Linked DNA regions of Nothobranchius furzeri. The protein of the gene in region 2 purifies or fractionates together with the protein of the main gene of each other region. This does not show direct contact. Links are inferred from orthologs where the notes say so. Each region holds a gene or a part of one and is shown on either strand. Other genes may lie near its edges.

Region 1 (4,480 bases), on a different chromosome or scaffold from region 2:
TGTCTGAGTTCATTAGAGCAGGGGTTCCCAAATTGGGGGTCTGGGCCCCCAAGGTGTCCCAATAAGATTACTGGGCATTTTCTTAGCTGAGGTTGGCAAGATTTTATTTGTAAAAAAAAAAAAATTACATTTAGAAAATCATGGTAACACACCCTACAGTATAATCAGAACTCCATATAAAAGTTTGTAAATGATCACATTAATGTGTAATGCATGTTGGGGTTGGGGTCCTGGCTTGTCTTGGACATGGGCTATGGGGTCCTCAAAGGAAAGACTTGAACTCCTGCATTAAAAATTTTATTATGAAAGGTTAAAACATGTAATGAAACCCATGCTGGATACTTATTCTGAAATGTGGTTTAAAAACGGAGCTGAGTCATCACAACCAGTGCTGAGCAGCAATAGATGGAAAAATGTAGCCACTCACTTTTTTTTAATTTCATTCATTTTACAAAAAGGCATTGCTGTGTTAGGGCAAATGTAAGGTCTGCACTGCTCTTGTGCAACGTGTTATGGATATGATCTAAGTAGAATTTCCACCTTGCTTTCCCAGAATAAACATCTGCTCGTGTGTGTGCTTTCACCACTGTGTGTTGTACAAAATTCCACTGAACCCAAAAAAGAAAAGAAAATTAAAACACCCGCTCATTTTATTTTCATTGCATTATGCTGGAAAAAGCATAGTTGTGTGAATCCATGAATTTCATAGCTTATTGATGTTGCTTCAGTAGTTTTCGTAGGTATTCGTCCCCCTGGCTGCAGCAGCAGTGTAACACAAACCAGATGTTTTAGGTTTGCTCCTTGACCGCTGCATTAAATTCCTCATGCCTCTGTAATTGTGTGTAAATTAACTAGCATGTTTTTATCAGTCTGAAGCTGTTTGCCCTTTCCCTCCTGTACCTAATTGTGAAAATAGCACCCTAATAATAAACACCACGTTACTCACTCTGTCTACATAATGCACAAAAATGTCAATTGTACATTTTTGTCTCTCCTTTCTGTTTACCTCATCCCTTTTCTCCTATCTCTATCACCTCTCCCATCTGTTTCATCTTGGCCCATGTAGGAATAGGTAAGAGCTGCTGCAGCGTTTAAAGCATGACCCCCTCTCCCCCTTTCTCATGGCCTCAGATCAGTCACCCCATGAACCTTAAACCGCATGCCTTGGTCAAATACCCAGCAGTTCCTGTAAGCATGAGTCCTTACAGCAGTAAATAAATGGCTTTGTACTGAAATGCAGCAGATTAACTCAGATCTAAGAATTTATTTTCAGTTAATGTCAGCAGGAAATATTGTTGCTAAATCAGCTGTTCTGGTATCCCAGCATGGAGTCTGAGCATGGGATCTGATAATTCCATTTTCTCTCGGAAATCTTTGGTATAGTTTGAGGTTTTACTTGTAAAGGTGGCCTTTTGAAAACGTTTTCATACACAGGAGGTAATCAGGTCATCGATCAACAGTTTTAATCTGTGGTGCATTTGTTGGTTTATCTCAGACCCTCGTCAGAGCCATCCTTGCACTGAGCCCCAATTTTTGCTACAAAATAGTTTTTTCCAAATCTAAATAAAGATGACATTTGGAGAGTTTGTGATTAAAGTACATGATATAAACATGTTTTCTTTCCTATGACTCCTCCAAATCTAGGGAATGATAAGTTTTTATTTTCTCTCTCTGTGAAGACTATCACAGTTTACACCAAACACTCTAAATGCACCAGCCCAGAACGTCCCGCTTTTGCTGCTTGGATTTTGATATTTGCCTCCTTGAGAAATAAAAACAAGGGCATGTTAGTGAGGAGCGGGGGAGTTATTTCCTTTTTAATGTTAAACTTTATATTAGCCCCGCTCTGCAGCCTTTTTTTATTTCAGAGATCGTAAAATAATCCGCTCTAATGTTGACAAGCATATGATTGGCTTTAAAGTCCAACCTAAATGTTTCTTTCTGTCTCACCCCTGCTCGTCGTTGCAGGCGGAATGCCGTGGACGCGTTCCGCGTGAACGTGATTCACGCCCGGCAGCAGGTCCGGTCGCCGGTGACCAACATCGCCCGCACCAGCTTCTTCCATGTCAAGCGCTCAAACATATGGTTGGCAGCTGTGACCAAGCAGAATGTCAACGCTGCCATGGTGTTTGAGTTCCTTTACAAGATGTGTGACGTCATGACTGCCTACTTTGGCAAAATCAGCGAGGAGAACATCAAGAACAACTTTGTGCTCATCTACGAGCTGCTGGATGGTAGGAGACGATCCTGGAGTCTATTAGTCATATAATAAACATTTTGTAGGACTGCTGGACTTACACATGTCTGGGTGTAGAAAAAAAGCCTAATGTTCTGTTAGTCAGTCAGCACCGGCTACTCCGTGTACTTCATGTTCTAGTTTTCTCTACACTAGTCTTTTATCGCTAACCGCTATCTACTGGTGTTTGTTTATTCAGAGATCCTGGACTTTGGCTACCCCCAGAACTCAGAGACCGGAGCCCTGAAGACCTTCATCACCCAGCAAGGCATTAAGGGACAAGTAAGTACAGTGTTTGCCCCCGACTGATGTAGAGCTTTCAGTTTGATGTTTTTGTAGAAGATAACCTAGAAAAGTGGTGTTCAGATGAACTAAATTCACTCTAACCTGAAGCGATGAATAGTTTAAAGACAATCTGGTGGTGGAAATGTTTATTTTTGTATCTGATTCTAGTAAACTTTACATGTGGTTAATTTGTATGAATATTAAATGTGTGTTTGTTTGTGTGTGTGTGTGTGTGTGTGTGTGTCATTGTTTCCCTCGTCTGCGGTTTTTGGACCATTCAGCACCAGGTAATGTTGAAAGTTTTGTAAAAAGTCGTGTTTTCATGTGTTTCCACTCTCTGTCATCCTCTGATCATCATCATCCTTGTGTGGAAGTTTTGCTCTTTGTTCCTGATCCAGTTTCTGCTCCTGTTTCTCAGACAAAAGAGGAGCAGTCTCAGATCACCAGCCAGGTGACGGGCCAGATCGGCTGGCGTCGTGAGGGCATCAAGTATCGCCGCAATGAGCTCTTCCTGGATGTACTGGAAAGTGTTAATCTGCTCATGTCACCTCAAGGTCTGTTTATGTCCTCTAAAGACGTCCCTGACTGCTAACATAAAAAGATCCGAGGAAATGTTGACATTCAGAGACGTCTAAATGACTTGCTATCAAGTTTTGCCATGAAGGTCGACTAAAACTAGTTGAAGACTTTTTGATCGTGTTTACTTCTGCAGCTTTAAACAGAGATGGTACTGTAGAATAATTTTAGTATTTCCACAGTTTTAGACCTGAATTAAAAAGTCCTATTGTGCAGAAACGCTGTCTAAATATGGTGGAACCTGTCCCAGCGGTGTCCAGATGTTGATCCTCTCACTCCTTCCATCCAGGCCAGGTCCTGAGCGCCCACGTGTCGGGCCGTGTTGTGATGAAGAGCTACCTGAGCGGAATGCCGGAGTGCAAATTCGGCATGAACGACAAGATCGTCATCGACAAGCAGGGCAAGGGAGGAGCGTCCGACGATGCAGGGAAAAGGTGAGTGATGCGTGAGTGAGGAGGCAGGCGCTTTGGTCAAACGTGCTTTCATAAGGAGGGACATAAATTATGACTTTGCTTTTCTTGTCTAAATAGTTCTGTCCTTGAGCTCCGACTAAGAAATTCTTTTGTCCTTTTGTTTGCTCTCCTTTTGGATGGCTCTCTGTCTTTTATCCTTTCTTTACTTTGTGCTGTACCACAGTGATTTAGGGGGAGGAAGGTACGATAGCAACAAGGTTCCTCTCCCTCCACCGCTTCATTCTCCTCCTGTGTTCTGCCCAGTAACTGTTTCATCATCCCTAACCGTCCTAGTTCACTCTTTACCCATCATCATTTACTGTAGTTTTGTAGTAATAATTTAATCCAGGTTCAAATGTTGTCTTCTAGCAGCCATGTCTTTGTACTTAAGTATACTGGTGGATATCCAGAGAGTAGATTTTATCTGTAGATTGGAAAAGGATAGTTAAAATCCAGACTAGTAACAAGTTAGTTGGTGTGTCTGATGCATCTTCTGTCCTCTTCAGTGGGAAGCAGTCCATAGCCATTGATGACTGCACTTTCCACCAGTGTGTGCGTCTCAGTAAGTTTGATTCTGAGCGCAGCATCAGCTTCATCCCTCCTGATGGAGAGTATGAGCTCATGAGGTCAGTAATGGTAGTAGATTATTAGAGCCTAAAGCATCCATGAATGTCTGCTCTGATAGATCCTGCTGGGTTTTTATTTATTTTTTTATTTTTCCACTCATTCAAAATTTTGGTGGATTGATAATTCCCCCCCCCCCCCCCATTTATTTTTATTAATTTACTTTTTAAATGTATGTATTTTTCAGATATCGCACCACTAAGGACATCATCCTGCCGTTCCGAGTTATTCCTCTGGTCAGGGAGGTGGGTCGCACCAAACTGGAGGTTAAAGTGGTCATCAAGTCCAACTTCAAACCTTCGCTGCT
Region 2 (5,781 bases):
ACTGAGACATCAGTGCCATACTCACAACCTTAATTTGACTTGTCTGGATAATAAGTGTGTCATTTGTTGGTGATTGTAAAGGTTGGTGTGTTGTACGTTTGAATAATGCCTCTACAGCACTAAGGTGTAGGCCAGCCGGCTGGCTGAGGGTTGTAGGTGTGGCCTTGCCTCCTACTGAGGTCACTTTGGAGACTATTAATAAAACAGACTGTACTTTAGATTGGACTATGCAGAATATGAGATGCTTGTGGGCTTAACTTGCTTGATAAGCCTTAGAAAAATAGGGACGCTGTTCTGGATTATAGCACGGCGATTCGTTCATATCGGTGTCAATACTGTTCTCTCAGGTAAACAACTATAATCTGTGTCCATGCTAGTACCGAGTCAGGAGCTGAGTGCAGTCTTAACCCAGCGGGTTCATTTACAACACCAGTGGGTCTCCATTCAGGGAACCCTAAGTTGGGGGTCCAAGCCTGACCAATCAGGGCTTGTTATCGTCTCAACAGGCCCACCGGTAGTCATCGTCATCCTATGACCTACATTCTGCCGTGTTACATCACCACTGTGCTACTGCAGTGTGTCTCGCTGTACCAGACAGACATCTCAGACTCAACTTTACCACGATCAAATGGTGCTCCAGCAACAAAACACACCGTGACCAAGGTGGCCAGTTCTACAGAACACACGAACCAAGGCAGGCCATTTCAGGAACCTCAGTCAGGAACGGGCTCAGCTCTAAGCCCAGTCTTAATTACTAACTTTTCACTTTCTTTTGGTTTTATATCGGCGTCTAAAGCCAACATGTCTAGCCTCTAGCCATCCGCGGTCCTTAACGTAAAGAGGCGCAACGACAGGGCTCAGTATTTAGCATACAAGTGTGGGACTGTTAAACAAGGCAGCCTGGAGAACGGGCGAGCAATCGAGGGAGGGGGAGAGGGGGACCGAGAGATCGTTTGGAAGAGGAGAGAGGAAGTGGTGGCACGGGAGAGGGCGGAGGCGTTGGAGAAGCAGAGGCTGGCAGAGTACATCGTGTGGAGGAAGAGAGAGGACTTCCAGGATAAGAGAGGAGAAAGAGAGAAGGGAGGGAAGAGCTCAGAGAAGGGAAGGGAGTCTTCACCAGAAGTGATCTGGAAGAGGAGAGAAGAAGGAGACGTTGGGAGGGAGAGAGCAAGGGCCATTCAGAGAGGACATGAAAGCATCTGGACGAAGGGGGAGAGGGAGTAGAAAGGGGAGCCAGATTTAAGAATAGTCGTGAAAAGTTGAAGCGACTGCACGACTGCAGAGTTTGAGAGCCTCCTCTCTCTTCTTCCGTGGCTCTGCAGGTGTTCGCTGTATTATCGACCAGCCGAGGTTGTGTTTTATGTGTTGCTGCTGTGTTAGCGTGTGCAGCCCCTTCTGCAATCCCCTTGTTGGCTGCTAATAGGAATTTTACAGGCCTATGTCAAGCGTGATAGAGCTGCCAAAGGGGAGCTGCTACACACACGCACACACACTCGGTTTACACTGCCATGTAGACGCGTCACAAACTGATGTACACACCTTTTTGTGCAGTAACACACACACACACACACACACACACACACACACACACGCACAAGGAGCATTCAGAGACAATCACTTGTGTTGGTTCGTCGTGGTGCTGGCGACAGCTGAATAGTCGTCCGGCACTCGGAGACGATTAAGTTGGGACGAGAAATCGTTTAGCATCGTGGCTGAAGACCATCGCTCTACGGAGAGCTGAGAACGTGTTTTCGTCCATTCAGGGGAACTCGGCGAACAAAAGCAAAAAACACCAAAAGAAACTGATGACAACATGAGCTGTTCTGGTGCTCTACAACACTTTTTTCATCTGCTCCCCACCGCTGCTGAGGAGGCCCCACCTTTCCGCAGCACCTCCTCTCCTCCTGCTCTCAGTGTGGATAAAGCCAGTTGTGAAGCGGTTTGGTGCGGGCTGCCTGAGCGGCGGACAGATGGACGCAGCTCCTACACAGACAGATACTTGAGTGTCCTTCCAGAGAAAAACTTTGAGTCGTGAGACAAAAAGACTTGGCTTGAAGCTCTGCAGCCTAAGAGGACCTATAAATAATACATGATGGAGCTCATGCAGAAAACCAAGTACACCCACATTCGGAGTGAGTCGCTGAGCTCAACAGATGAGACCAACTCCATTCCGTCGCCGTTCCCTCCATCCAGCCCCGCCACCCCTCTGACTCCCTCCCCTGGTTTGCCTTCTTCCTTCTCCTCCTCGTCTCTCACTGCCATTTTGCCCCCCACCTCCCCGCGCCCAGCTGAGAACAGCCCCACCACCCTCTGCTCCTTCTTCCCCAGTATGAGATCCCTTCGTCTCGGGGTCACTGGCACTCTTCTCCCAGTGCCCAGGTTCTCAAACAGGTCTCAGCAGTCCCAGGCACCTGTTGAGTCATCTGGAGATGATAGGAGCAACTCTAGCTCCTCCCCTACTCTTCATCAACCCATTCCCACACTAACTGCTCCCTCTCCCCCTCGCCGACCTCCTCTGCAGGACATGAACCGGCTCGGAGGAGCGTCCAGGAGGGCACGGGTGGAAGGAGGGCAGCTGGGAGGAGACGAGTGGACGCGCCATGGCTCCTTTGTCAACAAGCCCACCCGTGGCTGGCTGCATTCTGACAACGTGATCAGCACCACGGGAGTTTCCTATACTGTTCGGGTGAGTGAGTGGCACACTTCAACTGTCCAGCCTGTATTTTTATTATTATTTTTTATTTATTTATTTATCTCAAACCATCGAAAACATGAAATTGCATATGCACTCCCCCATATTCCTGGTGCATACAAAAAAAAATTTTTTTTTTTTTAAATGAGGAATACGATAAACATATGCTGTTGAATGAAACAATACAAAACATACAATAACATAAAACCATTTGAGAGGGAACTGGAAGAAGCAAAAGCTTATCTAGTCCAGCCCCAATTCAGTTAATAAATCACATTTGCTCACATTAACAAATTTGAAAGAAAAAAAAAATTCTTTATGCAGGTCGTTCTATCTTCACCTTGCTAGTTGCTACATAAAAAGACAGTTACAAAACAATTGTTCACATGAATCTACAGAAAAAAGAAAACAAAACCAATAAACAACAAAAACAAAATATTCCATTTGAAGCCAATTACCATTTTTATCACTTGCTATTTACGTATGAGTCAATTATGAGTTGTTTATACAACATTTTAAATGATCTAATGTTTTTACATAATTTTAAAGTCACATCAAGTTTGTTCCACAGTTTGATACCACATACAGATACACACATACTTTTCATAGTTGTTCGGTATAATGGAAAAATGAAGTTTTTAACGCCTCTCAATTCATAACCCTCTTCATGAGTTTTAAACAACCTTTGCAAATTACACGGCAGTACACCCATCATGGCCCTATACGGTACAAGGACAGTTTTAAATTGAATTAAGTCAAAAAATTTGAGTAATCTTAAATTGTAGAATAATGGAGTTGTATGATCTCTATATCCAGAATTTATAATTATCCTTACCACTCTTTTTTGGAGAACACAAATCTTTAATAAATTAGATTTATAAGTATTGCCCCATACTTCGACACAATATGATAAGTATGGTAGAATCATAGTACAATAAAGTGTGTGTAGTGCTTTCTGTGGTAGAGAATATCTTGTTTTATTTATTATTCCAATGCTTCTGGCTAATTTAGAACACACATATTGTATGTATGGCTTCCAACAGAGCTTATGATCAATCAATATCCCCAAAAACTTAATTTCATACACTCTTTCAATGGCTATTTCATTAACAGTCAAATAGATTTCTTTACTACTTCTTTTATTTCCAAATAACATCAACTTTGTTTTGCTGACATTTAACGACAGTTTGTTTTTATCAAACCAATTCTTAAGCTCACTCAATTCATTCTGGACCTTTAGTATAAGTTGCTGTATATCTTCTGCTGAACACAAAATATTTGTATCATCAGCAAACATAATAAATTTAAATAATTTTGAAGTTGTGTAAATATCATTTATATATAACAGAAATAACTTTGGGCCAAGTACCGACCCTTGCGGAACTCCACAGTGAACTTCGAGACAGCTAGACTTGTGATAGCCCAACTGCACATACTGAGCTCTGTTACTCAAATAACTTTTTAGCCAATTGAGAGCTGTCTCCCTTATACCACACTTCTCCATTTTTGATAAAAGTATTTTGTGATCGACTGTATCAAAGGCTTTCTTCAAATCAATAAAAATTCCCAGTAGAGCCCTGCACGGGCCTAAAATCTGAGCCCGTGTCCGGCCCGGCCCGAGGGGGTGGAGCCCCAGCCCGACCCGGCCCAAAAAGGTTTTCAGGATTCTCTGGCCCGGCCCGAGCCCAAGCCCGACTTTTTTTTAACCAACTAAATGAAAACAAAGTGCGTCAATCCTGACCAATGTGTTAAAAGACGTGCAGGATCCGAGCGTCGCAGAAGCGCATGCGGGAAGCTTACTTCCACTGAAGCGAGTGTTTTCCAAACCCTGTCTCTCAGAGAGACTTGTCACTTAGAAAATGTTCCCTGATTATGAAACTTTGGCTGAATAGCGCTTGTTCCTGTCTCCAATGTGCGACACATCCAGGAGCCGTCTGAGGAGAATCCCAGAATCTCACATCCTCTTCAGCTCATGAGCGCATATGATTACGCACAAGCGTGACCCAACACGGTCTCACAGTAAGACTGGGTTGGACCTGTTCAGGTTTACGCAGACAATCTTCACATAGAATTGACTTACAGATATAAAATTAATGCAGTAAAATATAAAGCATTTTATTTAAATATCCATTCATTATTTTACAAGCACAGAGAGCCGCATCAGATGGATGGAAGAGCTGCGGGTTGCCGATCCCTGCTCTAGTTCAAGATATCATTAAAATTCCAAAAGTGCTGAAAAGATTAAAAATGGGGCTTTTCGTGCACATACAATACATTATGGTAGCCACCGGGATTCCCTGTCTTGAGCGCAACAAACCACAACACAGATTCAGAGACGTGCTGAGTTTGTCATCCAAAATGCTCCGTTTTATAACTTTTGAATGGCTGATCAGATTCAAATAATTCCAACGGTTCCTAAAAGTACATCAAAGCAGCTTTCCAACGATCTATAGCATGAAGCAATCAGAGTTAGATAAAATATCGCTAAGAGGGGAAATCCTGCTGTACAGCCTGATTGAAACGGAGCGCAGCGCTGCGGTGAAAGCGGATAACCTATAAAATGTCATGTTGAGGACGCAAACTCAATACATCTCTTTTATTGTGAGGTAATAATTTCTCCGAGTTTTGCGGTTGCGGGCAGGAGTAGACATGCACGCTGCAGGTGAGGGCGGGAGTGTAACACACACGTTGCGGTTGCAGGCTGTAATGGTCAGAAATTCAGTGGGAGCGGGGTGAAGAAAACAGTCCCGCACAGGGCTCTACTGCTGCGTTTAAGTGTTTTAATTTTTTTAATGATTTTGATTAAAAATAAAAGGCGCCCGGCCCGGCCCGTGTCCGAGGTAATTACACAGTCGTTGGCCCGAAGCCCGGCCCTCGGGCCGTCGGGCCGGGCCGACCCGAGGGCCTAGGGCTTCAGTGCAGGGCTCTAATTCCCAGAACATATTTTTTCTGATCAAGCGATGTGGATATGTCTTCAACCAATTCCATTAGAGCTTGTGCAGTAGATCTACCTGATCTGAAACCATACTGACTGTCTAATAAAATGCCATTTTTTTCTACAAATTTTTCCAGCTTATCATTGTAAATTT

What was found. The genes of interacting proteins can lie anywhere in the genome.
Region 1: the proteins of shc1 (region 2) and AP-2 complex subunit mu-A purify together in Homo sapiens (affinity purification with mass spectrometry; 3 studies listed by BioGRID and IntAct, with this or other methods). This does not show direct contact. The link is inferred for Nothobranchius furzeri from reciprocal best matches to the Homo sapiens genes SHC1 and AP2M1.

What each region holds. Positions count from the first base shown.
Region 1 is NC_091751.1:56,899,029-56,903,508, forward strand, and holds part of AP-2 complex subunit mu-A, read left to right. Parts: intron 1-1,968; coding exon 1,969-2,234; intron 2,235-2,435; coding exon 2,436-2,518; intron 2,519-2,939; coding exon 2,940-3,075; intron 3,076-3,386; coding exon 3,387-3,531; intron 3,532-4,055; coding exon 4,056-4,175; intron 4,176-4,360; coding exon 4,361-4,480.
Region 2 is NC_091745.1:78,656,763-78,662,543, forward strand, and holds the start of shc1 (SHC-transforming protein 1), read left to right. Parts: upstream 1-1,871; 5' UTR 1,872-2,089; coding exon 2,090-2,686; intron 2,687-5,781. UniProt on the Homo sapiens protein: Signaling adapter that couples activated growth factor receptors to signaling pathways. Participates in a signaling cascade initiated by activated KIT and KITLG/SCF.